4 linked regions of the Drosophila melanogaster genome follow. The protein of the gene in region 1 interacts with the protein of each later gene in a pairwise test. Each region holds a gene or a part of one and is shown in the gene's direction. Other genes may lie near its edges.

Evidence for each region.
Region 2: the proteins of Tpc1 (region 1) and CG17475 interact in a two-hybrid assay, tested with the Drosophila melanogaster proteins (one large-scale study listed by BioGRID).
Region 3: the proteins of Tpc1 (region 1) and slgA interact in a two-hybrid assay, tested with the Drosophila melanogaster proteins (one large-scale study listed by BioGRID).
Region 4: the proteins of Tpc1 (region 1) and CG12560 interact in a two-hybrid assay, tested with the Drosophila melanogaster proteins (one large-scale study listed by BioGRID).

What each region holds. Positions count from the first base shown.
Region 1 is NT_033777.3:10,878,711-10,887,266, reverse strand, and holds Tpc1 (thiamine pyrophosphate carrier protein 1), read left to right. Parts: upstream 1-5,078; 5' UTR 5,079-5,704; intron 5,705-6,160; 5' UTR 6,161-6,262; coding exon 6,263-7,261; 3' UTR 7,262-7,695; downstream 7,696-8,556. Other genes in the region: leash, read right to left, coding at 1,180-1,294; CG14696 (uncharacterized protein), read left to right, coding at 2,433-2,547, 3,353-3,720, 3,780-4,311, 4,375-4,733; CG14695 (uncharacterized protein), read left to right, coding at 7,994-8,556.
Region 2 is NT_033777.3:17,128,084-17,135,220, reverse strand, and holds CG17475 (uncharacterized protein), read left to right. Parts: upstream 1-4,794; 5' UTR 4,795-4,837; coding exon 4,838-5,704; 3' UTR 5,705-5,882; downstream 5,883-7,137. Other genes in the region: CG31267 (uncharacterized protein), read right to left, coding at 8-635, 802-1,001; CG31266 (uncharacterized protein), read right to left, coding at 1,623-1,694, 1,760-2,536; CG4053 (uncharacterized protein), read left to right, coding at 3,065-3,789, 3,853-3,925; CG31265 (uncharacterized protein), read right to left, coding at 6,175-6,975; CG31269 (uncharacterized protein), read right to left, coding at 7,130-7,137.
Region 3 is NC_004354.4:21,370,584-21,379,084, forward strand, and holds the start of slgA (sluggish A), read left to right. Parts: upstream 1-3,728; 5' UTR 3,729-4,157; exon of another isoform or gene 4,158-4,238; intron 4,239-4,838; exon of another isoform or gene 4,839-4,910; intron 4,911-5,526; exon of another isoform or gene 5,527-5,536; 5' UTR 5,537-5,621; coding exon 5,622-6,083; intron 6,084-8,501. Other genes in the region: bbx (bobby sox), read left to right, coding at 1-139, 210-291, 400-1,653. UniProt on the Drosophila melanogaster protein: Converts proline to delta-1-pyrroline-5-carboxylate. Involved in the conversion of proline to glutamate, which functions as a transmitter at neuromuscular junctions. Glutamate deficiency could possibly account for reduced motor activity.
Region 4 is NT_033779.5:8,004,647-8,011,613, reverse strand, and holds CG12560 (uncharacterized protein), read left to right. Parts: upstream 1-2,136; 5' UTR 2,137-2,154; coding exon 2,155-2,358; intron 2,359-2,418; coding exon 2,419-2,666; intron 2,667-2,722; coding exon 2,723-2,896; intron 2,897-2,961; coding exon 2,962-3,172; 3' UTR 3,173-3,293; downstream 3,294-6,967. Other genes in the region: Glyat (glycine N-acyltransferase), read left to right, coding at 979-1,170, 1,235-1,479, 1,536-1,709, 1,764-1,989; Spn28Dc (serpin 28Dc), read left to right, coding at 4,482-5,182, 6,054-6,963.

The sequences.
Region 1 (8,556 bases):
GGCAATGTCCACAAACCCTTGGCCCCATGCGTGAAGCCAACACTTTTAGCTTCACCTCATGACACCCAAATGCCCTTCATTTTATCGCGTAGCGCATTAATTTCTAAAAAATATGGGATAGTGTGGCGCTCCCGTTTAGTCTCGCGCTCTCTTACTCACACATGCACGGACCAGCTGCTGTTCTCACGCACACCTGTATAGTGGCAAATCACAACAGAGAGGCGCTTGTACAGTCAAGGGCGCCCAATTATGTCAGATTTAAAATTCTTTAAGTCATTTATAAAAAATTCAATAAACCACTTATTGTTTTAAAGGTATACTTCATAATAAAATGGAGATAGCTGTTTGCCTTTTAAACACTATACTTCGGAATATACCATTACTGGGAATCTTATTTCTGGATAATTAAAAAAAAAAACCTATATAAACCCCTTTGTGGCCACCACTGTGCTGCGAGCGCCCTCTCACCTCTCTCTCATTTAGACCCGACTTGCGCTTGGCCCAATATTACGGCTTTTTCGGCACGCCAACTGAGTGTGCCTCTCTTCGCACATGCCCCCACCGTCTACACTCCCCTCTCGCGCGATGCGTTTGGGTTGGCATTTCCTGAAACAAATGCCAGTACTCAAGAATCGTGAAGAACGAAAAGAAATTCAATTGCAATTGCAACGGGCGGCAATTGAAAGCTTATCGATGAATGAAAGGCGAGCGCCGAAGGCAATTAGAGGAATTTGCGAGCAAGAATCTCGAAATTGCGGTGAAGCGGAGGGGGAGGAAGCCCCATAAAATGGCCGCTGTGCTTTGTTAACTGATGGAGTTCTTTGTTTATGCGAATGGGGCCGCAACGAAAGTCCAGCTGACCATCGGGCGGACAATGGATTGCAAACCGCTGACAAAACAGAAAAAAGCACATTTCTATTTGTGGAGTACATGATGGGTTGTGCAGAAAACCATCTTTGTTAATATTAGATTACTATATCTAAGCTAAATCTTTTCGGTAATACGATCTATATGTACACATGTAAACAATACCCAGAATCATAAACTAAGAGCCTAACGTTAAATGTAGGGTTTTGAAACACTTTCTCTGCGTGTCTACAGCTGAGTCATGGATGATGCAAGCCGAGCTTTGAGATGTGCATTCCAGGAAGCGGCAAGTTATGCTCGACTGGCACTTACCGCGTATTTTGGTGCGCTTGTTGACGTTCATCCAGATCTCGCCGCGAATTATGTCGCCCGCAAAGTAAACCCGATCCGCGCTGTCCAGCGTGATTCGCAGCCGCTCGCTTTCCATTCCGCTGGCGTTGATGGTGATGACTCCTCCGGTTTGGCCACTTTCCTCACGCACTTATCCAAAAATAATTTCGTCATCAAAATGCCGCCACATACAAACGTACATGGATGCACTGCAGCACCACGGCCCGCACCACCCTAAAGTATATGCAGAATAGTAGCACCACCACACGCACTCGCCTCACGATTTACGATTTGATGTTACTACACACACCGCGCGGTGAGTGGGAGCTTTTTCGCGCTGATTGTGGCCAGTTCTTGGGGAATCTCGATATCCATCAATTCGCAATGGCCCACAAGTGTTGGTCGCACACCCCGGGCTAATTTAATTCGATTGCTGTCGTCCGCTGGCGGGTTGAATAATTAAATTTCTTATAAATTTACGAGATCCGTGAGTTACGCTTTTTTGTTGTAGCTGCAGCTCTCTTTCGATAACCGTGAGAGCGGCGGTCCGATAGCACGAACAGCTGTTGCGCGGTGCTGCCACCGGGCGCCTGGCCAGCTGAAGCGGTTAATTCGCAGACTTTTTAATCGGTATTTTCAAATGTGTCTAATTTAAAGTTTAAGTTCTAAACAGCGTTTCTTAAATGCACTGTTTTCAGTTGTAATGCAAGAGTTCAGAAATGCTTGGTAGTAATGGTCTTTTTTTATGGTTTGATGTTTGAAAAGAGAAGAAGAAACTCTCTGTTTGAATATCGCCAATAATTTAAGTTGATATATTTCACTACGAATAATAATTACCAAATATTTTACTGTATAGATAACAAAACGCTCAGCTTAGATGTCAGCGATGATTGAAGCATACATACATATTTTATTAAGATTAAACTTTAGTTGGCTTAGCAGCATAATGCTCCATATAGTATTTCGTGTGCTTCCCCGTTCTGTCCTTCGCTTCTTCTTCTTGTAACCTCTCGCGCACAAAAGTTTGCTTCTCGGTTCTTCGGTCTCACCAAAGACTTTTGAGAATTCAGTATTAAGCCAGAGCTGCTCGCGTTCGGAGCTTGCGAGCTGAGTCGCCGGAACCCTCGAATACATCGAATCCCTACCTCTTCCACCAACTATCAATAAAACAAACAAAGGAACTTGATAGCGCGATACCACCCGACACCGTCGCCAAGGAGCCAATTCTGGACAGGATGAGCAGCAAGGTGAACTTCGTCTTCGACAGCAATCCTTTGGGGCTCTATCAAGCCGGTCAGCTTATCTCCGGCACGGCGGAACTGATTACGGAGCGCCCCAAGACGATTCGATGTAAGTGACACCGACATGCGGAAGAAGACGCACTACATACATATGTATTCTAATGGACTCGAAACCATGACGTCATCCCCCTCCATCACCATTCAAATTCTGAATCCCATACCGTTTTACCATCCACTAATAAATAAATATCCACTTAATATTGTTGGTGCTTTGTTATCCGCTGGTTTAATGTTATTGTTGCCGGTAGATATGCTTGAAAGATGTGTATTGTATATACAAATGTACATATATGTATGTATACATAAAGTTTATATACAACACACATGTGGCCGCTTGGCTGGCTGGCGGATATCTGATAGCGGCGTAAAAACTAGTTTTGTTTTGAAATTGCGTACGCTGTTTGTATTATTAGATATTTGATTCAGTTACTGGTCAGCCCGTTCGTGCCAATACCTTTAAATTGTAGTGTATAGGTAGCATTTTGGGTCAATTAGGCGTAATTCATGCAGATATACATATATATATAAATTTATACAAATCCCATTAGCAAGCTAAGTGGACCCTAGCCATCGGTTCAAATTCAAATAATCAAATATTTCCTAGGGTATCAAATAGTCGAGCCTTAGCAGCGCTTTAATTTGATGGTGAACTTTATTAGGTAGCATTCGTTTTTTTTATGCTTCTGATTAAATTATTGTTAGTTCATTAACAAAGACAGTTGTTTGTAGCTGAGCAATTTTCCAATACAATTCTACATCCGAAACACACAAAAGGTCCAAGGTCAATGGCAATTAAACTAAATGCATAATTGAATTACATACCCGGCAGTACAGACAAATTAATCCAATTGCAGCGATCTTTATAACCATAAATGGATACGGCGAGACGCGTTGGCAGGAAAGCGAGGAGCGAGTGGGAGAGGATGGGAAGACGACCAAGTCCCTGGTGACCCACACCACCACCGAGGTCTACTACAGCACTGACCAGCCGGTTTACGGCCAGGCCGGTGGCTCGCAGCTGGAGTTGCCCACCGGCAAGTACGTCTTTCCCTTCCGGGCTACCATTCCGCCCAATGCACCCACCTCATTCAATGGTGCTCATGGTCAGATTAAGCACGAGGTTACCCTAACCATCGATCGCGCGGTTCGCTACAACAACACATTTAAGCAGTGCTTCACGGTGATCCTGCCACATGATCTTAATAGGCGGCTCGAGTATAAGGTATGTAGTCTTGGTTGTTCTTCCAAACTGAATAACCTTATGAAGCGCACTTCCCTTAGGAACCCCTCCAACGCTTGGAGTCGAAGAGCTTCTGGTGGGGCTCCATTTTCGGTGCCCACAAGCCGATGATCATGGACGTGAGCACCTCTTATTCTGCCTACGTCCCCGGCCAGAAGATTCATTTCCATCTGGTGTTGGACAACCAGTCGGATGTCCAATGTATGGACGTGAAGGTGCGTCTGATCAAGAACGTCTCATATAGAGCCAACTCATCGGGCGCAAAGGAGCAGTTGAAGGTAACCGAATCTCGGGTGGCGGACAAGCACTGCGGTGAGGTGCTGAAGCACAACAAGGCCAAGTTCGATGAGTTCCTCACGGTGCCGCCAACTACTCCATCCACGCAAAGCGAAAAGGATCCCATTCGAGTTAGCTACACATTGCGATTCATCGCCAAGACCTTCAAGCTGCACGGTGGTGGCGACTTGGTCATGGACTTTCCAATAACCATTGGCACAGTGCCGCTGCTGGGAAGTGCTGATGACAAGGGGCCCGGGGCGGAGAAGTCCCAGCCCAGTGGTGCCTCTCATCCAGGTGGGTTTTGCACTAAAGAAAGCATAATCGAAAGTGTTATTAATCGACGTTTCTCCGGCTTAGGCTCACCCAACTTTCAGGAGGACGTCAGCGATGAGCAATTCGAGTCCAACACCTTTAAGCCAAGATATCCCGTCTATCCATTTGATGGGAAGCCTGGAACCAATGGCTCAAACGGGGCAGCTAATTTTCCCAGTCTTTATCCCAAGGCAGAGGAGGCGCATCCTGCTACGCCTGTGAAATTCACACCAAATCCTGTGTCGCCAGCCGCACAAAAATCGCCACCATATACGACCAACACACCTGTTGCTTCTCCGCCAGGCGGTAATTTTGAGGTGCTTGGATTCAGTATACCACCAGACTATAAACCCACGCCTAGTGCTCCAGCCGCCTCTTCCACTGGCGGCATTGGGTGGAAATAGGGACCATAACTTAACCATTTTGTATTCTACACCTTAAGGCATTTTTAAATATACAAGAAAGCCCGCATAAGTGGCAACGCTGTGCATGTGACAGCTATATTAATATCGATAGTTAGTATCATTTTAATCCTAAATGGCCTTTTATTAACTCGAGTATAAACATAGTGATCTGGTTTCAGGAATTATGCTTACTATTAAAAAATATTTATGTTCCCAATTAAGAAAACCCTAAAACTGAATTTTAGCTTCTAGCTATTTTCTTACTATTGTTGTCAACCACGATAGCCGATAGTTGCCATCGCTGTTCGCTAAAAGCTCATCGCCAGCGGCTCGAACAGCTGATTCCGTGCACTTGGCGACGTAATTTAGTTTGTTTTGTTGTTGTTGCGTAGAGGTTTGAAGCAGCGCGTCTTGAATTCGGAAAACCAGTTTGTGGAAGTGGGAAGCGGCCAACTTGGACAGCGGCAGCAGGGGATTGACACAACTGCAACGGCATCTCAACGGCGGCGCTATTACAAGTCTGGCGAAAAGAAAGTTTTGACGCAATCCACGGGCCGCCGCCTGTAATGAAGAAGCGTCGGCGCCGCAGTCACTGCTGCACTCTGCCCGCGAACGGACGCATCTGCTCCAGGTGAGCTCAGATTGTAGTGCGCTGCTCTGGACATTCAGCAACATCATCATCATCACCATCGAGCGTGTTGCCAATGCCTTTGTCTCTTTATCTGAGCAGCAGCATCGGAATTTTGGGAACTGGACAACGGTCGCCGAGACATCGAACAACAAAAGCGGAAAAAAGTGAAATCGCTGATAAACCCGAATACCAACCGAGCTATTGTCAATCAATGAACGGCCGTTTGAACCTGGAGTCAACTTGGGAGCTCTGCGAATTGGCGGGCAATTGGCCATAACCGACCGAGATAATAGTGAAGTAATCGCAGAGACATACGCACGCTCCGTGGAGCATGATACTTGTAAGTCTCATCCTCAGATGAATTCCACTCCTACTATTTCCCAATTCCTGTCTACGCACTTGTACACAACAATTTGTCCATCGACTTTGATGAATGTGTGTAAACAAGTCGAAGTTTGCGCCCTGCCGCACCTCTAAAACGTTTTGAATGAAAGCTACAGGCAAGCTTTGCTAAGTCGGATTTTCGAAAACTCCATCTTTGATACCAGTAAAACCTAGCATATTTCATTTTTATCAAGAAACAATCTTAAGCTTTCTTTTTAACAGCATCTACCTTGAATTTCACAAGAGTCAAGTAAATTACAAGTAACCTTCAAAACAAATTCTTTATGATAATATATAAGCTATACCTATTAGATCCAGCCTCATAGAAGTTGCTAAGTCCGAGTTAATAGTTGCATCTACATAGTTCCGACTGTAATAACGTCTCCACCTGTCTGCGTTTCTTTATTTTCAGAAATGCCATTGAAAAGTTGGCAGTCGCAGCAATAAAAGTGAAATCCGCACGAGCAAACATACGCACACGAAAAGCAAAACCAAAGGTAGCTCCGACGCAGACATGGCGGTAACCACAGGCTCCACCAGTGAGGCGACCACAACCACAACTCCCGTTCCGCGACGCAAGCACAGTACGCGGGAGCAGCTGCATCAAATGCTGGCCGGTGGACTTTCGGCGGCCATTACGCGCTCCACCTGCCAGCCGCTGGACGTGCTAAAGATCCGCTTCCAGCTGCAGGTGGAGCCGCTGGGCAAGAACGCCGCCAAGGAGGGACCAGGAGCCCTTACCTCCAAATACACATCCATCGGACAGGCGGTGAAAACCATATACCGCGAGGAGGGAATGTTGGCCTTCTGGAAGGGACACAATCCTGCCCAAGTGCTGAGCATAATGTACGGCATTTGTCAGTTCTGGACGTACGAGCAGCTCAGCCTGATGGCCAAACAGACCAGCTATCTGGCGGATCATCAGCATCTATCGAACTTCCTGTGCGGCGCTGCGGCCGGAGGAGCAGCAGTGATCATATCCACGCCGCTGGACGTCATCCGCACTCGTCTGATTGCCCAGGACACCAGCAAGGGATACAGGAATGCAACAAGGGCTGTGTCGGCGATTGTCCGCCAGGAGGGACCTCGCGGCATGTACCGCGGTCTGTCCTCCGCCCTGCTGCAAATAACGCCGCTGATGGGCACCAACTTTATGGCTTACCGCCTGTTCAGCGACTGGGCGTGTGCCTTCTTGGAGGTGAGCGATCGCAGCCAATTGCCCACGTGGACGCTGCTGGGATTGGGCGCCTCCTCGGGCATGCTATCCAAGACGATCGTGTATCCCTTCGATTTGATCAAAAAGCGACTGCAAATCCAGGGCTTCGAGTCGAATCGCCAGACCTTCGGACAGACACTGCAGTGCCACGGAGTCTGGGACTGTTTGCGGCTGACCGTGCGCCAAGAGGGCGTTAGGGGCTTGTACAAGGGCGTGGCCCCCACACTCCTTAAGTCAAGCATGACGACGGCCCTGTACTTCAGCATTTACGATAAGCTCAAGCAGGTGCGCTTCTAGGTCGGACTTGGAGTCGGGGTTAATGGCGTCTGAAAGCAATTGTGCGCCCAAACGGAATCTACACTGTATTTTCTATTTTTATATATATTTACCGCAGCGCGTAAATAATATTAAGACTTAGGCTAACTCTGTTGATTAGTTTTCGGTTGTGCGTATCTTTTCTGGGGGTTCTGTTTATCATAGACCAATTGACTTGGTCAGCGCTTTAGTACACACACGAATAGTTGGCGCACCAGTTAAGTTATAGATTGTATGTGCTAGGTTGTAGTTCATTATTCGGCAGAGCACCTCTATTCACAGACACATTCAAATTTTTATTTATCTTTTGTTTGATTCGCAAACGAAACGACTGCGCTGGCAGTTCATTTGATATTTAATTAATATTATTACACCTAAGTATTCAGGGAATTTAATAAATTTGACTACATCACAACAGTTTAATAACTTTTATTTTTAATGAGTATTGTCCCTGCCTCCTAAGATTTAATTCTTCATATTTTTCTCATAATCTTTAAGCTTAAATGTTTCTTCCAATTGGAATAATTAGTTTTATGAACATGTTATTGAGTTGCAGCTGTTAAACTCCAAACATAATCAATGTTAAGAAAAGCTCGCTGCTGTGAGCTTTTTTGGTTGTGAAATTTAAACGGTGATGCATGCAGTGTATAAAAGGAAATGTATCTTTGGGAACAACAATACAGTTACTTCAGCGATTTCCCGTCCGGAGAGAAAATGGCTCTTGTGAAGACGTACACCATCGACAATAACTCCATTCCATGGATTCTGTGGCTACCGCCATTAACGGAAGTGGATAGGAAATCGCCGGGTGGGAGGTTCACATTTGATGGGCCAAAGGTGGTGGCGTTTCACTTTGTTAAGAACCGGCACGGAGACACGTTGGACAAGTGGATAAGTCTGCTCGATGAGTTGGCACAGGAGTACGCCGGTCGTATATTGTTCGGATTGCGTGACATCTCCAACATCGGGGAGTTCAATCCGAACCTAAATCCCGACGACTTTGGCAGCTACCGGAAGGGATTGCCACCGCGAATCTATGGCAAGGACTGTGAGGGCCGAGTGTACGATATGCACAAGCTGGTCAACGCCAAATACCTGAGGGAGTTTTGCGACCAGTTGCTGGCGGATCAACTCTTCCGTGCCGTAGTCCTGGGCGCCACTGCCTCACTGGACTCCAAGCCAATGAATTACTTTGAGTTGCGGGAAGAGAGCAGCAGCGATATGCTGGTGATGCTATATGATCCTGCCTGCTACTACTGGCCCATTCAGAAGAGGAT
Region 2 (7,137 bases), 6.2 Mb from region 1:
TTTGCACTTAGGAAATAGCACATCCGTTAATCGTTGATATAATCCAGCTGTAGTAAAAGCTAATGCGGGCAAAAACATCGGGAAATCCATAGCCGCACGGAACGCCCCAGTTACCAACGCCCACCAAGCGACCACGACTGTCAACGATGGGTCCTCCGGTATCTCCATGACATGCTCCGGCTCCCACCTTTCCCACGGCACAAAGGTGACCCACATCCAGATCTGGAGTACCGCCGTACGTGGCATTGCACTTTTCCGGCGCGACATAGGTTACATCCAACTGCTGCAGCTGCCATGAGAAATCTCCTCCGATCTCCGTGCTGCCGTATCCGTACATGGTTAGCGTTTCACCATCGGTCAAATCCTCCAACGGAGCGATTGTGATATTCTGAGTGACATCATCGTAATCGAATAGTGCATGCGTCTTGATCAGGGCAATGTCATTATGGTACATGGGGCTGTCGAAGTTGCAGTGCATGACGATATCCTCCACGGAGTATATCCAGCCCTCCGATCCCCAGTGATTATAGGTGGTGGTCACCACCTGCACGTTGTTCTTTCGCAATCCAGCCAGGCAACTAGCCGCGGTGATGACCCACTGATCGTGGATAATGGAGCCGGCACAAAAGTGGTTACTTAAAAGAGTTGCATAATTCACTATTTAGACTTCAAAATAAAATGTTACTTAAGACACTAAAAAAATATATTGCTTAAAAAAATAGTATAATTTCTGTGGTAATACGTTAGTAATTGTTACCAATAGGGAAACTAGGATAACATAAATAAGGATAAGTTAATTACCCATAGGCGTTTTGGAGCGAGACTAGATAGGGTGCCGCCAGGACATCGGATTCTTCTCCTCCGACGATTCGGGAGCTAAATTTATTCGCGGTTTCGGATTTTTCTGAAGTGAAGGCCCGACGGCGTAAACTTGCCTCCGAAAAGGATAACGCCAACAGGACGAGGACGAGTGTAGAAACCGCTCCGGTTTGGTAAGACATCTTGGACGAACAGCTGAAGTTGGACTAATTGCAAAGCAGTGCAGCTAAAAAGAAACTAAGCTCCAATAAACGATATTCAGTATACGATATTAGATATTTGGCGTGATATTAATGAGCCGCCATAAAGGTATTGCAATCTCAATCATGGTCAGCCTGAACAAAACCCACAAATTCTCCCCTCGTAAAAATCCCATATCTTTTTATAAATCAGCAAATCAACACAAATCATGTTGCCAGTACATACACTTGGGTAAAAAATGAAAAATGTTCAGTTACATAAGGTAACAAATTGTTAGATAAGGTTATTTTAATTAAAATCTATGATAAAGGCTATATATGCTTAATTCAGAACGTTAACCAAAAAAAATATTTTTTTAAACACCAACCCTGAAACAAATAATTTTAAGCAAGTAGAACTGAGCTTAAATATCCCATACTTAAAAATACTTTGCCCAGAAATAACTGAGATTCGAAAACGTATTAGTGATAAGAAAAAATATACATTCTTTAATGATTAAATCATATTTAATAGTGCTTTTAAAATATATTTGTCATATTTAAAATCTCTGGCCGCATGATGAGCCGCATTTCTCTCAGTGCACAGATACGAGGTACCCATGACTAGGCGATCGTACATCCATTCATGGTGGTGCGGATCCAATCGTGGTAGAAGGCAGTACGCGCATACACATCCTAGTGGATAATAATAGGTGGCAATAAATACATATATTACTCTTCGATATAGGCGGAATACTTACCGGATAGCCACGTCCGCATGGCACACCCCAATTACCGATGCCTACCAAGCGCTGCTGCTCATCGATAAGCGGTCCGCCAGTGTCGCCATGGCAGGCGCCCTGGCCCGCGTCCATTTGGACACACACATGACCCAGGTCCACATCATCTTGGTTCTGCAACTTCTCCCGGCATGCGTCCACCGGCAGATATGTGCCGGATGCCTCCTGCAGATAGCGACCATAGGTGCCCATGGCCTCGGAGCTGCCCCAACCGGCAAAGGTCAACTTATCCCCCTCTTCCAATTCATCGATATCCGCCAAGGTTATATTCTTTGTCACATCGTTGAACTCGATTTTGGACGACAACTGCAGCAGGGCTATGTCATTGTGATACAGCGGCTTGTCGAAGTTGCAGTGCACATGGATCTGGCTCACAGTGTAGTACGGAGCATACAGATCCCACCAGTCCACAGTTCCAGTCACAACCAGCAGATTTAATGGCCTCAATCCCGCCACGCAACTGGCCGCTGTGAGCACCCAAGTTTCGTCGAGTATGATGGCTCCGCACAAGTGATACGAGTATGCATTTTGGATACTTGCTATCCAGGGCCAGTTGCCCTCGGCGGCGGTGGTGCCACCGATCACACGACCTTGGGGCACAGCTTCGGTGGAGCGATGCCTCTCGATATTGGCCAAACCCGGAAGTGGTTCTCCTCGCATCCTCATGGCTTCCGTTGGCCCCTGAAGAGCCAGCAGAGTCAGACCCAGCAGCACCGTAAGATTCCACCTATTTGTCATGGTTGGTATATGCGCGGTACAATCGAAACTAAAACCCCTCAGCCGGGCCACCTTAAAATTACACTTCATAGGACGGATCTTATCGCCCAGTTTGGTCGAATTTTGGATAATAGGCAGTTTATGGGTCTGGACACGGCGATAAGTGGCATATGCGGCATTGCGGCCGTGGTCATTATGAGCTGACTCGCTAGTTCGACCGGTGCATTTATAGAGTGCCGAGATTTGCCGTGTCACACAAGTCCATGGGTTTATGAGCAACCAGGTCCAATTGGACGTTCCGCCTTTACCGATTGGGTTTTATCCTTGCAGCCGTAAAGATACCTGACTGCGAATGGCCATAAAGATTGCTGGCCAGTGGTCAGTTGGCCGCGAAAAAACCCAAGTGAGCCAACTCCCGATGTGCGATAAAATAGGTTTATATGGAATGCATATAAAAACGCTCAGTTGGGTCATACAATTTTCCATTGCTGGTCATTAATTCGCGCTGTCCGGCATTGTCCCTCGTCTCGGAAATATTTGTTTTGGATGATGGCTGTCCGTTTGTCTCTGATTTGGCTGCTTCTGCTGGGCACTTCCATTGACGTCACGCGCGGAAAGCGTTTGGACAATCGTAAACTTTTGGACAATCGCATTGTGGGTGGCCAGGAGGCGGAGGACGGAGTGGCACCTTATCAGGTGTCCATTCAGACCATCTGGAAAACCCACATCTGCAGCGGAGTCATTCTCAACGAACAGTGGATCCTCACCGCGGGTCATTGTGCACTGGACTTTAGCATCGAGGATCTAAGGATTATAGTGGGCACGAATGATCGTCTGGAGCCAGGACAGACCTTATTTCCGGACGAGGCCCTAGTCCATTGCTTGTACGACATACCCTATGTCTACAATAATGACATAGCGTTGATCCATGTCAACGAGTCGATTATATTCAATGATCGCACCCAGATCGTTGAGTTGAGCCGAGAGCAACCTCCGGCGGGTTCCACGGTCACTCTGACGGGATGGGGTGCTCCGGAAAGTAGCTATCCCACAGTGCAATATCTGCAGACCCTCAACCTGACCATCATCGCACACGAGGAGTGCAGAGAGAGATGGGACTTTCACGATGGCATCGACATCGGTCATATTTGCACCTTTACGCGAGAGGGCGAGGGTGCCTGCTCCGGAGACTCCGGTGGTCCACTGATGTGGGAGGGCAAACTGGTGGGCCTGGTCAACTGGGGCAGAGCCTGCGGCGTCGGCATGCCAGACATGTAAGATGGTGTATATCCACTCCCCTTTAAAGGTGGGAATTAATCAATTGTCAATCCTTTTAGGTATGCCAACACGGTTTACTATCAGGATTGGATCCGCAGGACTCATTCAGGATGCAAGAATCGTGTTAACTAAAAGAGATACAAGGAGAGAGCGATTAACTGGCATCATTATGATGTATTTTTGTATAAATATGTGAAATAAATGTATTGACTAAAGCAACGCTGATAACTTTTACCCTTACTCATGTGGTCATTGCCTGCTTTTAGATGGGCAATCACAATTTTATGGAACTGTTTGCTAACATGTTATGGCATAAGATAATGTCATGCTAGGGCTGAAAAATTGTTTGTTATATGTGAAATTATTTGGCCTAATCTAATGTAATAAATAGTGATAATTACTTTTAATGAATTCAAATGGATCATCTCGTAAACTAAGAATACTGTTGTTGTTCAATTCGTTGCATTTCCGTTATCAAAATGTATAGTCCAGATTATAGATCGGCTTTTATTTAGACTTTTAGGTATGCATTAAAAAAAATTAGTAAATTTTGAAGATGGTAAAGAGAAATTTCCTGATTGCAAACAACCGCTGGCGGCATCTCCAAAAATGAGATGATTTTAAAAGATTCAAGATTTTTTGAAACCTTATTAAAAATATATTCAATTAGAATATGATATTGGAAAATACGACTTGCTTGATCAAATCAATATATCATTTAGATATTTGACGTGGATGGTAATAGATGCAACCCTCGGTTTTACAAAGTCCAGTGGTAATATCCAGCAAGTGACCATTCTAGATATTATTCTTATCCAATGACGGCGCTGACATTGATTGCCCTGTCACAAAATGATAATCAGTGTGCGTCTATATCTTTTTACGATATCAGGCTTTATGACATAGATACTTGGGGCGGAAACATTGATTTCGATTTACGATAAAACCCCAAGACTTACGATAAAACGTTCGAGTATAAAAGAAAAATCACTGCCCATATGCAGGCTTAATTGTCGCATTGAAAGTCAAGCACCCACCACCATTATGGTTCGACTGGGTGTTGTGCAGATCCTGGTGATCCTGCTAGCTTGTACTTGCTATAAGCCCATTAGCGCCGTGCGTTTGGCGCAGCTTAGTGAGGATCAGCTGGAGTGGATCTCGAAGGCGGAAGGAGTCAACTTCCAGAATCGCGTAATCAATGGCGAAGATGTGCAGTTGGGCGAGGCCAAGTACCAGATATCGTTGCAGGGAATGTACGGAGGTCACATATGTGGCGGATGCATCATCGACGAACGCCATGTCCTGACGGCAGCCCACTGCGTATATGGCTATAACCCCACCTATCTGCGAGTGATCACAGGAACTGTGGAGTACGAAAAGCCGGATGCCGTGTATTTCGTGGAGGAGCATTGGATTCACTGCAACTACAACAGTCCCGACTACCACAATGATATTGCCTTGATTCGGCTAAACGATACGATCAAGTTCAATGAGTACACTCAACCGGCTGAGCTGCCCACAGCTCCGGTGGCAAATGGGACGCAGTTGCTCCTCACGGGCTGGGGCTCAACGGAACTTTGGGGCGATACGCCCGATATACTGCAAAAGGCTTATCTCACGCATGTCGTGTACTCGACTTGCCAGGAGATAATGAACAACGATCCGTCGAACGGTCCATGTCATATCTGCACACTGACGACTGGTGGACAAGGAGCCTGCCATGGCGATTCCGGCGGTCCGCTGACGCACAACGGAGTACTCTACGGTCTGGTCAATTGGGGTTATCCCTGTGCACTTGGAGTTCCCGATAGTCACGCCAACGTGTACTATTATCTGGAATGGATCAGAAGCATGATCTCGGGACCATGTAGCAACTGTCACTGCTATGCCAGTAACTATCCCAGCCTGTGATCCAAGGGGACGACGATATGCTGAGCAAGATATACAATTTTGATTAGGTAAGAATGTACGGTGACTAACTTGTGGAAATAAAATCAATGGCAGATTAACAATAAGAAAATCGTGTTAGTATTCCTTCTCAGATAGTCAGGCAATATAGATTTCTATATCTACTTTTGAGTGTTTACCCATATTTTATGGTTTATTATTAATTTCTATTTCATAACTATAATTTCATATATGTAAGTAAATTTGACCTTTAATTTATGAGTCTATATTTTCTTGTTAATTGTGTTTTCAAATTAAGCCTGGATAAGCGAAGGCGTTCAAAAAAAAAGTGGAGTTATTTTTAGATATGGTTTTTTTAATTCCACTTGATAATAAACCACATTTCAAAAGGCCACTTTTATAATAGTCTTAATTTTTCTTTATTTTCCTCTGAAATCTTTCTAACAATTTACTAATTCAATTTGGTAAGTAAATTAGTAGTAGCATTTGTTGTTGCCACTGAGCTTGCTGCGAATCCAGTCGAGGTAGTAGTACACATTGGCCTGCACATCGGGCAGTCCGACACCGCATGGTCGTCCCCAATTGACCACACCCACCAATTGGCCATTGCTCACCAGCGGACCACCGGAATCGCCGTGACAGGCGCCCTCACCCTCGCGCGAAAAGGTGCAGATGTGACCCACACCCATGCTGCTGGTTCGGTTGAAGGTCTCATAGCACTCATCCAGAGGAACAAGGCCCACGGTCAGCTTGTGCAGGTCCTCCATGGAACTCCCGTAGGCCACATCGGAGCCCCAGCCCGTGAGGACGATCTCTTCGCCGAGTTGAACCGGTCTAGTTGGCAAAGCGATCGGCTGTGTCAGCTCATTGAAGGTGATGTTCTCGGTAAGCTTCACCAGGGCGATGTCGTTATGCATGTAAGGCTGGTCGTACATACAGTGTTTGTGGATCTCGGCGGTGTAGTAGATCGCTCCGGGCTCTGCCCACTTATTGGTGCCCGTGATCACATTGACCAGGGCGGGAATGAAATTTTCCACGCAGTGTCCAGCAGTTATGATCCAGTTTTCGTTTAGGATGGCACCACCGCAATTATGGGAGCCCACTATGGGTTGCAGGGACACCTGGTATGGAGCAAATCCGATCTCAGCCTCCTCGCCACCCTTTATCCTGCCAGATTGACCCGCAGGAAAGGGGCCAACTATGCGCTTTGATTCACAGGGATTTGGGGGCTTCACCGCTAGGAGAATTAAAAGGCTTAGACGGAGCAGCTTCATCTCGAAGGTTTGACCAAGTACTGAACACTAAACGTTAACTTCTTCGCTATCAAAACTTTATTAACTGGCCCCTGCTTATCGAGGCAATTTTATCGTTGCCTTATAAATTAGTATTTTTTATGGTGCACTATGATAGTCACAGTAAACGGAACCTTTAGGATT
Region 3 (8,501 bases), on another chromosome or scaffold:
CGCGACAGCTTCAGCAGGATGAGACAGCGGATAACACACGGCCGGAGCATCATGCCCGCCGACCCATGAATGCCTTCCTCATATTCTGCAAGAGACATCGCGGTATCGTCAAGGAGCGTTACAAAACTTTGGAGAACCGGTGGGTTTTTTTCCAGCTGCACCCATTTAGGTTCCGGAAAGATTACTCACTCGTTGTTTACCTCTTTTAGTGCCATTACAAAGATACTTGGCGACTGGTGGGCCGCTCTCGACGAGCAGGAGAAACACTGCTTCACGGATCTGGCACAGCAGGTGGGGATCATACAATATTTACCCGTGCACATACTTCACTTCTGCTGAACATGCCTGCTGGGCTTTGAGTTCTATAAGTTTAGCAAGCTAATTAATTTTCTTTTGTAGAACAAGGACGCCTTCTTCAATGCTAATCCAAACTTCAAGTGGTACAAACTGCCAGCTCCGCCGCTGCGAACGCTAGCTACCCGTCCCAGCAACGCGTCTGCTGGCTTGCTCATACCCAGTGAAGATCAGCCACAGCAGCAGGTGCCGACTTCACTGCAAGTGCAGTGGGCAGAGCGAGGGGAGATGCCGCGTGCTATGCTGCGCCCCAACTACTTTAAACTGGCAGACGAAACGCAGATGGGCGAGCTAAGCTCCCTACTGCAAGTTCAAGTACAAGAAAAGGACTTCGCCCTACAGCAGGTGCTCAGCGAGACCAGCCAGTTTCTATCTGCCCATATGCCAGCTGGCAATACAAATGGGAATGGCAATAAGCGCTCCTTGCAGGACAACAACTCGAGCAACTCCAGCGAGGAGGAGGCGGCCAGTGGTAGCTCGCCAAACAAGAAGGTCAAGTCATCACGCTCCTGCAAGGGCAAGATTTACCAGGAATTGGTCAATTCCGGTCAATTGGCGGCCATAGCTAAGAAGAGCAAAGCTCGCTTGCCGCCGGCAGGTAACATGGGTGGAAACTTTGTGGACATCCCCTTGGATGCGGGACCCAATACACCGCCCGTTTCGCCACCGGAACGTCAGGGTAGCAGTCCGGATTCCATGCAAAAACATATAAGAAGCGTTTCCGAGTCAAGCAGCAGTGGTTTCTTTGATCTCGAGGAGAAAATCAAAGAGCTGCCAGCCCTCAGCTTGGACGCTTACCTGCAGCGCAAACGTAGCACCAAAAAGAAGAAGAAGTTTAGCGGCACCAAGAAACAGAGGAATTCGAACAGCACAAGTGGTGCATCAGCAACTTCGAATGTGGCAGCAGCAGATGCTGCGGCGAAAGGTGCTGTCCCATTATCTAGCGAGCAACACGTGAGGATCAAGCAGCAGCAACTGCAGGCTGTGGGAAGCCAGCGACGAAAGGCGCGCAAGGAAAGTATCACCCGGCGCGATGTTAGTGCCATTGAACAGGAGGTGGCCTCAATTCTGCCCCTGACCATCAATGGCAGCTACTACTTTAACCAGAGCGGTGCTCCCAAGGCGGTGAATGCCCCTGTAACCTCGTCGTCGGCCTCGCCACCGCTCTCTTCGAACTCCTCGTCGTCATCCTCCTCGCTCTCCTCGCAGGCGGCCTTCGACGTGACCTCCTCTACCTCAGATCTACTCATTCTGGCCGAAGTGGCCGCCAACCGCACTGAGCTGACCAAGTCCAACTAGCGCCTGCAACACCAATAACATCAGCAGCACCACTGGCTGTCCAGCATTACCACCAAATAGTTAGCCCAAATCAAAATAGCGAACTGCAAGATTGTCATACTTGGGGAAGACATATTCACATATGTATATCCTGTTGCAATAATTTGAAATTATGTTTAGATATTTAAACTATTCCCTGTTTACCTTATTATATAGTTTTTAGGAAAGCAAAAGAGCATGTCCTTAGCAGTTATTCATATCATCATTCATTACGTCAGAGCTGAGGAATAATACTTTATATTTTATTTACATACATATATAGATAGGTTTTACATGTTTTTCGGGCTATGTTGCACACATATCCAAAATATTCAGTTCATATCCGCACAACTGTGCATTAATATTCAATTGTTTTAACATTGTCGCATCAATCGAAAACCTTAAACTGAATTTGTCGCCCTTATGATAGTCTTGCGGTCAAGTTAAGCACCCATTTTCGATACTTACGATGCTTAAAGCTATTTGCTGGTGGTGCCCAATGGAGATGGAAAAACAGACATTCGTTGATCTACAATTTAGTCAATAATATTATGTAATAACAGAAAATCAAGCCAGCCGAAGAGAATGCGAGAAGAGAGTCGCGGCGATAGCGAATTATGTATTGTTTGTTATGACGGCGGTAGGAGGAGACCCGAGTCAGTTTCACACGCATATATCTATGTATATATTTGGTATTTAAATAACTTGTTCTGTTTTTTTCTTGTTAAGTTTCTCCTTTTTCGGGCCGCGTTCGCTAAGCAGCAAAATCAACAGCAGCGGTCGCTCATTAAATGTTAATTATTATTATTTCTAATATGTAGTCGTAACTTATTGCTATATTTGTCGAAACGCAAACAATTTGCAAACAAAAATATATTCATTTTAAAATGGAAACTTGGAATTTTCATTTTGAAGAGCCAATTTTGCAATATTTATCTATGAAACGCCAGTAAGTAATCAGTATACGGGAACAATTTGGTATCTATGTACGCATACATTGTGTATATTAAAAAATATGGAGTGCATATAGTTCTTGTAGTTTTTTTTTACGTTAACATGATTTCTTTGATGCCATAAATGTTTCTTAACTTTCTTACCTTTTTTCTATAAACAATTTTAAAGTAAAGTAAATTGAGACGTAAAAGGTTTTTTTTTGTTAGTGTCACAAGCCGAATCGCTTTGTTTTTAATTTTAATCAGTTTAAAAGATTTTATACGAAGTAATATGTTTGAAATTTGTAACCGAAAAAATCGCTTAAAACAAACCCAAAGGACATTTTTAGAGATCGCTGGTGTGTAGATTTGTGAGACGGCGATAACTATCGATATTTATATTATATTTATATTGCGAGCTGAAAGTAACAAATAGTTCGGATACTCAATTTTGTAACTAACAATAATTCAAACTTTTCTAAAATCCCTTCTTTCGGCACACAGCAAAAGGAAATATTTGGCTTGGGAGGGTCCGATTAGAAAGATTTAGAAAACTTATATTCATTTGGTGGCCTTATATTTGCGTAAATAGTGCAATTAAAATAAATCTGTTTGATACTTTCTTGAGTCCACGATAAGCGTTCTTTACACAGAGAAACATTTTGAATAATTTTCGTACCTGAAACTAAATTTCAAATTTTGCGAGCGTATATTTCGTATCGATATATTTCTCCAGTGATCTGGGTGTAAAGCAAGCCTGTTTGCGAGGCCAGTGTTGCAAGACGCCGGTTGTCAAGAAAGAGACAGGGAGAGAGATGAATAGAAGGAATGGTTCGTTTTTGTTGGACGCTGGTGTGGGAGTCCATTGATAAGATAAGAGCACCGAAGATTCCCGGCCAACCGCCAGGGGCCTAGATAAGCGTGCCGATTTTTATTGGGTAATAAGAGTTGACAAGATGGCGATTAATTTTCGATCGGGTTTCTTTTTTTCGCTCACGTGCAGCCCAAACAGCTGCTGGGGGTGGCCCATCCCCTTTCTGCCCCTCACCGACTGGTCCAACAATTTCTCTCAAGCTTTTTTGGACGAGCTTTCGCCGTGTTGGCCTTAATTTCGCTTCATGTGTTTCAGTTTATTCGCGAATTCAGACCCTTGCGCGTGCTCACGCTCTCTGTTGCAGCAGCAAAAACCAAAAACCCTCGAAAAGAACAACATTGACTCGAAAAAACCGAAAAATAATTATAATTGTACTTGTACTTGTGTGTCTTTTGTGAGGTGAGCAAATGCGCTGACAGAAACGGGAACTTTTCTACTTTTCTCGCAGGCTGCTGTGAGAAGTTTGTCAAACAAACACGAGTTTTTCCGAAAAACTATATTTGGCAATTCTACAAATTCTACAAAATTGTATTGTTTACCCTTATTATTGTTTTTGGGTCGTTGCTGGTTATGTATCGTAGTTTGTTTTTTTTGAAGTGACAAAACAACCGTTAAAGCAAAATTTATATCGAGCAAATAGAGGAAACCCACAAACCCAAGCGAAATTTTGCAGTGTACATGTGAGTGGCTGCGTTGTATTCGTATCATAAAAGGATCTCTACAAAGCGAGGTAGAGAGCAGTAAGCAGTGTTATATAATAGGTACAATTCGCCGCATAGCAACAAATAAGAAAAATGAAGAAAAAAAAACAAAAAAAAAAAAACCATTCAGATGAATTCGCAATTTAAGTACGGCAGCTCCCTGTTTCCCTTTAACCAAGGCGGCCAGAGCGAGACAGAACTTGATATAGCCCATAATGAAGTGTAATGAAATCTGTGCAATGAAACCCGCCAAGTTTTTTCGATTGATTGCAGCCTCCCGTCTGGCGATTATTTAGCGGGCTGCTAATTAATAAATAAAATGAAAAAGGGAAAAGGGGTTAATGGGTGGAAAACTGAGAACGAAAATTGGGGAGAATCAAGGAGAGCCGCAATTAACACCAATTAGTGTGTGCTTTCGGCGCATTTCAATTAAATCAAAACAAATTCCAAATCAAAATCAAAATCAGAAGCAAACGGGGCTGGCATGCCTGTGACGTCACACAGTCGTAGTTACAATTACGGTACAATCTCGGTTACATTTACAGTTACATAAACGGGAGCGAAGCGGCGAAAAGGATTTTCTCGCCCTCGGGTCCTTCCTCGTTTCGCTTCGTTGAATTTGCCGTCGCTTAACAACTCGCCCCATTTTCACGCGTCTTCGTCGCATTTGGTTTCGTGCTTTTGCGGCGTATACAACGCTCAAAGCGTAATAGAATAAATAATAAGAACGAAGTAAGAAGAAAACCCAAAAGACACATAATAGCGAAAGATAGATTTCTGCCCAGAAATTGACTTTTTTAATTGAACATTTCGAAGGTGTACTTGCGTACGTGTGATTGTGTTGTGCTGTTTTTTTCGGCTTCGCTCTCCCTCGCCGCCTCACGTTTTTCGCATTTGTTGTATAACATTCGGAGCGAGCGAAAGAGGGAGAGCGAAAAGCTCTCCGACAAAATCAGCTGTGATCATTGGCGTTGGCGTGGGGTTTGTGGGGGGGCAAAAAACACAATTAGGCAAAAAGTTGCAATAATAATATGTACACTGATTTTAATATTTTTATAAATTGAATTTTATTATACATTTGTTTATTATTTTTATATTAATTAGATATCATCCAATTACAATTAAATCAATTCTATATGATCTTATTGAAAATCAATGCATATTTTGAAACAGTCGTAATAATTTTGTTATATATGTACCACATTTCCACTTTTTAAAACGTTATTGTAATCGAGTTGAAAACGAGATAACCACCTTTAGTAATCTCTTCGTTACGCCACTGTCTTCCCTCAGATTCGTAGTGATTTGTAGAGATAATAGTGAAATTACCTCTGCTTTCCATTGTTTTCTTTTTGCAGCAACAACCGAGATTGGAGTGCGTTTCAATAACCGTCTCAAAAGCCGAAGAGCAGAAAGCGTAAATAAACCGCAGAATCCCTTGTAATGGCTCTACTCCGTTCGCTGAGCGCCCAACGAACAGCCATCAGTTTGGTCTACGGCCGTAATAGCAGCAAGTCGAGCAATTCCGTGGCCGTCGCCGCCTGCCGGAGTTTCCATCAGCGCGGCAGCGGGAGCACCAGCATCGCCGGAGAAGGAGCAGCATCGGAGTCCACGAGAGGAGTCAATGGAGCGCGCTTCCTGCACAGCGGCGACCGGCCGCTGCAGGCCTCCACTCTGGTCCAACCGGAGGTGGTCTCCAGCGAGACGGTGAAGCGATCGATGAAGCAGGAGTCGTCCCAGGAAAAGAACCCCTCGCCCGCTGGCTCGCCGCAGAGGGATCCCCTGGACGTGAGCTTTAATGATCCGATTGCTGCTTTCAAGAGCAAGACCACTGGAGAGCTAATACGCGCCTATCTCGTCTACATGATATGTTCCAGCGAGAAGCTGGTCGAGCACAACATGACGGTGAGTTAATCGGTGTCCCCCACTCCTCCTCTGCCGAGTCCTGCGACCTTTGACCCTTGAATTGGTCCAATCCATCGACTAGCTGAGATCTCTCTCTCTCTCTCTAGCTCTCTGTTTCTGGTTCTGTTTGCTGAGAAATCTGGGGCTCTGTTAGTACATAACCCCTGCTTAATGCTTTCTTAATATTACAATTAAGTAAGTATCGTTTTAGATAGTGACCGATTTCGAAACCATTTGTTTCAACTCTCGAAGTGTGTGCTGACTCTTCGCCTCTTCTGTCCTCTTCTGCTGCTTTCAACTTATTATAATTCATTCATTTATTTTATAAATACTTCCTTTAAAATGCTTTATTTAAATATATTCATGTACATGGATTCTTGGACACTTGAAGAGTAAACAAAAGTTATGAACAGCTAGGGCTATTGAATTCCATGTATGTATAATGTTAAAGTTGTCTGAAACTGAACGTAGAAGAATATTTAATTTTTTTGTTTGCTTCCTTTTTTCTATTCATGAATTTTTTTGTCTTATTCATGAATTTTTTCGATCCTGCCAAGCTTCCATTCGCTTGATTCCGATTTTCCGGGCAACCGAAGCCCGTGTCAGGTGGCTGGCTGCTTTCCTTCCGATTTTCCGCCCTGCTTCCGCTTTTCAATTCACCCGACCCGCAGCGAGTTTTCGTTTGCTCCCCTCGTGTTGATGAATTCCTGGCTAATTGCTTGTTGCATTTGTTGCCACTTTCTGGCAGGTGCTGCAGTCGCACAGAAGATTGAATGAGTGCCTGATTGACGGCAGGAAAAAGGGAAACTTTGGCATGCAAATTGCCGCTGCGATGGCGACCTTGCCCGGTCCGCTATTTGCTCTTAACTCGTGCGTATTTACTCAGCGAGACGTATGGATTGTGTGAACTGTGTAGGACTGCATAGTATATATAGGTCGTTATATAGTCAGGCCCCCGAATGAGCGCCAATCGGAATCGTTGGAAAACCCCTCGCATTTACCCCATTCTCGCTAGCGTGCTTCTATTTAATAGCGTCGGCGATCGTTTGATTGCTTATCGATTACTCAAAGTGCATGCGTCGCCAAGACTGTTACTTATTTATCATTTTTTCGCCCCGCTCGATGCAATTTGCATATATGGGTGGCTAAATGGACGTCACAGAGAATGTCCGCACAGCTCCCTGGGACCGTAGACATCACATCACATGTGGCATTAGTCAGACATCGACTTTGCCCACATCTCTGCACTAGAAAAAAATTGGTAAGCCATTCCTTTACCAGACTCGGCGCAATCTATTTGAAAACATCGTTTGCACAATCGATTTTGAGCGTTCTAGCATTCAATTAGTTATACTTTTGGTACTAAATATAGTGAGAACATTCTCAAGAACTGTTGCACACAGTTCAATAACACAATTGGGGTCTCATATTCGTTTGAATTTGTATCAGAGTGTACTTATTTTTTCGCCATTTCTATTTACAGTAGCGCGTCGATTGCTTTTGGGGACTGAGGAGCGGTGTGGGTCTCGTGATATGTGAGAATGGGTTGGGTATTGATGGGTAAAAAACATGGTTGAGGATGGGGTACTGTGGCAGGTGCCAGGTGCTAGGTGACCGGGGGTGGTGTTGGCTCTGCTGGGGCAGCTTTTTTTGTTTTTTTTGTTTTTTGGGGCCAGAGCTCAACGGCAAACACCTGTCCTCGGTTTCGAATTGTCTGCCAAAGAAAAGTTAAAAGACTAGCAAAGCAAAACATGCCATACCCAAAAAAAATATAATGCGAAACGAAAATTTGTTTTATGTAACCAGTTTTGGTGATGGTGTATTTATATTGTCGGCAGTGTGCTCTTTCGACAACTTTGTATTCAATTAATTACTTTAGTGTTCTCGACGAAACCGGTTTCCCCAGACGGAGAATGCTCTTTTCTTTCCCCACCTGTCCTTTCTCAGAATCTCATTCATCTGATGGATCCCGCATCAAGCAAAGCGCACACGTGCAAGGGAATCATTAATCAGAGGCCAATGCTCTTGTGTTTTCCACCTTGTAAGGAACATGGGTTGCCCGGAAACCGGAAACTTGGTGATTCCCAAGTTAGGCGATCTCTTCCTGTCCTTATTGCCGAGTTTTATTAAGTGCAGTTTAACATTTTCTCGTTTTCACAAAGCTGGATAGTGCATTGCGAGTTTATTTAAATAAATTAATATTTCCGAAGGGATAGTATTGTCTCTAGTCGCATAAATCTTGCATTAATAGGTTTGGATAAGAGTCTGTACAATCTCTTGCGTTATTTTTCGGCTTTTCAGGAAGTGTTTGTTTGTTTTTCTTACACTAAAATTTCAATATTCGCATCACTTATATATGTACATATGTTCAGCGGATATCTGTTTAAGTTGATGGTTCCGCGGCGGATCGTCTTTCCT
Region 4 (6,967 bases), on another chromosome or scaffold:
TGGTATTTGAACTTCGGAATATTGCTGCTACTCTAGAACCCAACAATTTCGCTGTCCGCAATTAACTGGCGTGTCATTTTTTGGTTAAACTGCTCGCGCGGAATGCAAAATCGAGGCAGTTTAAATTGTAACAGCTGCGATCACGTCATCGCCGTCGATGGCGTTGATTCGAAGCGGTCTATTAAGCTCCAACATTCGAATGATACTGAATACCGAATCGATCGGTCGTCTTCTCCCAACTATTCACATTTTACATACCATATGCCATGTGCCTGTGGTGGGTCAACGGTGTCACTTAGTTGATGGCCTCGAGTGTCCAAAAAGCAGAGATGCGTGTGTAAATTGATCAGCTTTACGGAATAAGTTGCAGTTGAATCATTCATGATTGACTTTGATTGCTATCAAATTGATTGACGACTATCTTAGTTAATTAATTAGTTTGAGTTATCATGAGTGTGCTAAAGGGGCGTGGTTGGGTTTAAATCTTTGTCAGTTCTGTCAACACAGACTTTAGATTTAGTGTTTTGCGTAATGGTTATTTCCTGGGAAGATACACTTTGAGAAATAAGCACTTCATATGTTCCTTCATTGTGACCTTGACAAGGTTATACGAAATTTACATGCATTTCTAATAGAGGGTTTGTCCCCAATATATAATCAAATACATAAAAATGATAAGCAAATATTTTTTATTAAAACTTTTAAAAATCGATAACCGCTTAAAGAAATTTCTACAGTTGGCGATCAGTCAATCAGAACGCAGAAATGAGTATAAAACATATCGAAAATTTTTTAAATGAGAAGGTGTCTACAAAAGAGCACAAGATATTTTGTGACGTCAATGGGTATACTAAGAGAACGCAAGAGAAAGAGATTGTCATAAATATACAAAAAGAACTCAGTAAATAATTGTTGTGTCTGTGAAAAGAAAAACATCAGTATCATTTTTCTCTGCCTCAGCAACAATTGTAATTGGAAATGGAACCTATACTGATAGAAAAATCTCAGTGGCCAGAGCTCAGAGATTTGTACGCGAATGATAGAACTAATCTCACGGGATTCGACTTAATCGAGTACTTTTTAAATTACATACCCTTATCCACAACCGAATCCATAAAGATATATACAACTGATACGGATTGGAGAACACATGGCAGTTATATACTAATTGTAAGCACATATATAGTTCACATACACTAGGTATGTGAAATATAACTTTAGATCTGCATTTCAGCATTATTTGGAGAACAAGGCCTATATTTATATGAATACCATTAAGGGAACCCCAGAAGATCTTGGCAAATTGTTGAACTCTCTAAAACTTAAAGTGTTTCATTTAATCTGTGGCTATGAAGAACGATTCAAACCATTAGTTGAGGCATATTGGCTGAATTTGGGTCAAGATTTGATTAATCTTGAACACCAGGGCGCTATTGTTTACCACCTGCCAAGCACCGAAATTCCCAGTTGGAAACCAAGGTAAAGTAAAATAATAATATTCAGTAAAATCTTGTTACAAATTTCTAACCCTTTAGTTTGAGTACCTCTTGCAAAGTGGCTTATATCACATCAAATCATGCCGAATTGGTCGACAAACATTGGGCTTATCGTTCAGCTGATTCTATAACTATGATAAGGGGTTTTATGGAGAACAATCTCGCTGTTGGTGTTTTTGATAACCAAGGAGAACCCCTAGCGTGGTGTCTAAGGTAAGAAAAGAAGATGGGTTTGATAATATTCCTGAAACAATCTGTATTTTCTAGATCTCCTCATGGTAGTTTGAGTAACCTACACGTTTTATCCTCACATCGTCGAATGGGATTGGGTTCTTTGGCAGTGCGCTTTATGGCTAATGAAATCAAGTTAAAGGGCTCAGAAGTTCTGGCCACAGTTGTTCCCGAAAACGAGGGTTCGCAAAAAATGTTCGAGAAACTAGGATTCAACAATATCAACAAACTCTACTGGGCAGTGATACCGTGCACTTTATAAATAAAGAATAAATACAGATTACAAACGTCTACTTTTATTATGAGTTTCGATTTACTTGTTTGCTCTCTTTGTAGTGCACAGCTTTTCTCTTATCTCATTTTGTTTTTTTTTTTTTTTGTTTCAAGTTTAGTCTGCGTTCAGCTTTTGTTGCGAAAGGTTGTCGTCATGTCGACGGAGAATTCGTTGGTTGAAATTCCACGCGGCGAATGGACTAAACTGCGAGATTTGTATGTGGCCAGAGATACGGATCCCCAAGGCTATCCGTGCATAAATAATTTCATTAAGTGGGTGGAGATAGACCCGCAATTGAAGGTCAATTTCCTATCGTTGAATGGCGACTGGCAGAGCGATGGAACCTTTGTTCTAACGGTAAGTTATGCGATGTGAAATGCAAAAGTTCGGTGATTGAATGTTGTCTAATCATCTCAGCTACGTTCGGATACTCATATGAACCACATTTACTTCAACACACTGAGCGAAAATTTGGATCGAGTGACGAAAGCGTTAGAATGCCTCAAGTCCATTGAGAATGAATACGATTTCTTTGGGTTTTCTACGCGATTGAAACCTGTGGTGGAGTATATTGGCAACAAATATTATGCCAACAAGAAGCTGCACACTGTGGATACCGTTTGGTACGCGGCCAGCAAAGAACTCGTAGATACATTTAACATTCAGTGAGTTTGTACTTTATACTCTATAACTCTCAATGAAACGAATAATTTCAATTTAGGGTTCCTCCGGGCTTAAGTCTACAGCACTTGACCATCGAAGATGCCGAAATCATCAATGAAAACTGGCCACATAATAAACCCGGCTCTATAGACTTTGTGAGAAGTTTAATTAAATATAATATTAATTTGGGTGCTTATGACGACAAGGGAAAGTTGGTTGCCTGGTGTCTGCGGTAAGCCATCGAACTGTATATAAATGTATATAAAAACTTATTAATTAATTAACTTTCCTGTTTAGATTGCCGATTGGATCCCTGGGTCTGCTGCAGGTTCTGGAGTCACATAAACGCCTTGGTCTCGGCAGCTTGCTGGTGAAGTCGATGGCTAAGAAGATTTCCGCAGCGGGAGATCAAGTTTTGGCGCCAGTAGTAACGAAGAACACCCCCTCGAGGAGCATGTTCGAGAAACTGGGTTTCCGTGCTATAGACAATACATACTGGGCTGCCTAGCAACTGAGAAGAAGCCAAAAACTAACATAAATATTATTAAAATAAATATAGTGTAGGAAATGATTGGTTTTTTAATAATAAAGAAGAGTGAATCAGCTCATTCAATTATAGCTGAGCACCCATGAATTTGAGCTTGAATTAAATTGAGATGGATTGTAATGTAAATTTAATATAATATATTGGATAAAATTGGTGAATATAAAATGATATAATCTTGAAATGTTAATGATTTCAAAGGAAGTTATTTACGCTTCCTTTGCACGTTTCATTTTTAATATTTTTTATAATGAAACTTGTGCTTAAATTGTCAAGTTAAATTTCCGGATAATATTTACTTTAATGGTCGATGGTTTTTATTATGATCAGTTTACCATAAACTGAAGCTGAAACTAACTAACTTAGAGTTAATAACTTACATGATAGATAAAAAACTTACACAACTACCATTAACTATTTTTGGTAACTGGCATTACAGAAGCAAAAATGAGTCATCGAATCTAAAATAACTCATAAAGCAAGTAACGCTTAAATATAATTTACGACGGGCTTGTACGACGGCATTATCTATTACCAATAAAACCCATCTCATATTTGTTTAGTTCTGATGGCCCAACAGATGAGCACAAATCTTATCCTAGCGCTGGGAAATCCCACCACGACTCCATCACCGTGTCAATGTGCCGCGAACTTTCCAATGACGAGACCGAGAATACGCACCAAACATAATGACTATAGTATATAGCTAATAAATATTTAAACTATTTACTCACCGGTTGCGAGAGAATATCAGTATGCACGTCACGGGTTTGAGATACATACGTACGTACATACATGCATAGATACAAATGGATGGGAGAGGGCTGCCATGGATTTCCGCAACAAAGTTCGCAGAATGCTGATATGAATGGGCGGGGGGCAGTACATGAGTACGTGAGAAAGTACCGATCGATGAAGATCAATAACAAGTGCAGACACGGGTCAGCCATGTAAACAAAGCCGGGGTATAACCAGTGACTCGTCGACGAAACCTCTCCCAGATCCAAGCTCGCCAAGATCCGAGAGCAGCTGGGGATGCAGAGCGCGAGAGATCGGGGACTTGAAGGAGCGTTTTTGCTTGATAACAAGTTTCCGATTCCAGTTTTATAAAGATGCGCGCTCAGCGCCAATCATTCAGTCTGGCTTTAACAACTCGCACAGCCACATCGCGTTTGCCTCTAAAAAAAAAAAAAAAAATATATATATATATATATATATATATAAAGTTCGTTCTGTGTGTTGCGTTCGAGATTAACAAAAAGAAAATTACAAAATGTGGCGCTTGCTTTTGGCACTTTTGCTCGTGAGTTCGGTGTGCTGTGAATCGGAACTATTTCGTGATGACCTGAGGACCCCGGAAACGATGGCCTACATCAATGGACTGATGCAGCGGCGGCATCAGATGCAACAGGAGGCGCAGCAGCACATTCAGGCGATACCGCCTGCGGTGCCCCTTCAATCGCCCGGCCTTGTGAACGGCCTTGGCAACCAGAATGACCCTGCGTTGAATCGCATATCCGGCACTTCGGTGAAACCTTCCAACCTTCCGGCTGCCTACTCCAACGGCTATGTGGATCTGGCCACCTCTGATCGGATTGCGAACAGTGTGCTGAACTTTGCCAACATTCTGGGCCAGCATTTGGCCAACGGTAAAACCCAGATATACTCTCCCCTGAGCATTGTACACTCGCTGGCTCTGCTGCTCCTGGGCGCCAAGGGTCGCAGTTACGAGGAGTTGTCCACGGTCTTCGATATTCCGGACACGTCCAGGCTGCACGAACAGTTCGGCCTGATGCTGCAGGATCTGCAACAGCCCACCAGGGAGGCGATCTCCGCAGGACGACCGCTGACCGATTGGCGGGCGAGCAGCGCGATGAGATCCAATCGACGGGCCCAGCGACCCGGTGCTCATGAGGTGCACCTGGCCAATGGACTGTTCACACAGACCGGCTACACACTCAATCCCGACTACAGGTGAGCCGAGCAGCGGATAATTATCCGGCTGCAAACTGGAACTATAGCGATATCTGGTTGGGAATGGGTGCTGGGAAATGCCAAACGATTAGCGATCGCCTTGAGGTTTTACACCGTGAAAAACTGAAGGCCATGCGGGCTAAAGTGATCTCCTTTTCTGAATGCCAAGTGAGGGAAACAGGTTCATTGTACCAGCAAAATGATCTCACCCATTATCATCAAGCGTTTAGTGTCTCTTGATGGTGGTGCTCCAAAAGGAAGTATTTATTTTATATTCGAAGATAATATACAACGAGAAAATATTAGAATATATTTTTCTGTGTAGAAATGAGCGTGTAATTCCACTTATATTTATGAATCTTTAAAGCCCAAGCTTTCATTGAGAAATATATATGTACGTACGTACGTATAAAGTTTAGAATATAAATGGGAACCATTGACAAACAAATTTAGTAAGAACTTTTAGTGCGATTGTTTTTATGTAGAGAACTTGAATAAAATTAAATCGGAATTGGAATTGGAATTATCAGTTAATCAAATATTTAATTAGAAACCTTAGGTCAAATAGTAGGTACAATGAATTGCCAAAAATTTGGCAAATAAAAAGCACTGATAAGAATGGATTAACTTAAAAACATAACTAAGACATTTAATTATTTATTTATTCTTCAATTATAGCTGATCAAACATTGCAAAAAAAGCGGAAAAAAACTACTTTCCCAAGTTATTATTTAGCTCACCAGATATTGCAATTCCAACCCATCCCCAGTTCCCCAATACTATCGCTCCACTTTGCACAACGTTGTTGGCATACTAATAGCTGCGCCTTGTTGATTTATTACTCATGAGCTCCACTTTTGTGCAATTCCAGACGGGTGATCGTCGAGGTCTACGCCTCGGATCTGCAGATTCAGGATTTCGAGGGCAGTCCGGCGACAGCACGATACAATATCAATGCTTATGTGGCGCAGCACACAAAGAATCACATCGAGAACATCATCGCCAGCGATATTCCGCAGACCACCAGGATGATTCTGGCCAACGCATTGTACTTTAAGGCATTCTGGGAAACGGACTTTATAGAGTCAGCCACACGTCCGGATAACTTCTATCCGAATGGCGAGGGAACGGAGCCGGTGATGAGGGTGCAGATGATGGCCACCGGTGGTGCATATCCGTATCACGAGGATCACGAGCTGGGCTGCAAGATCATTGGACTGCCGTACAGGGGAAATCTGAGCACCATGTACATCATCCAGCCGTTTAAGTCGTCGGTGAGGGAGCTAATGGCACTGCAGAAACGTCTGACGGCGGATAAGATCGAGAGCATGATCAGCCGAATGTACAGACGGGCCGCTCTGGTGGCATTCCCAAAGATGCATCTTACGGAGTCGGTGAACTTGAAGACAGTCATGCAGCGAATGGGGCTGGGCGGCATCTTTAGCGCGGTGCAGAATGATCTCTCGCTCATCGCCACCAACGAGGCCACGAGGACGAATGCGCTGGGCGGCAACAGCCTGCAGAATCTGGAGGCACAGCGCAGAGCCGGAACGGGTGGAGCACGTTCCGATCTGGTGGTGGATGACATTGTTCACAAAGTGGACTTCACCGTCAACGAGCAGGGCACGGAGGCGGCGGCGTCTTCGGTCACATACCTCAAGAAATCCGGTCCCGATGTCCTCTTCCGCGGAGACACTCCATTCATGGTCCTTGTGCGCCACGATCCCACGAAACTGGTGCTCTTCTACGGACTCATAAATGAGCCCCCGGCGGCCGCTTAGTTTC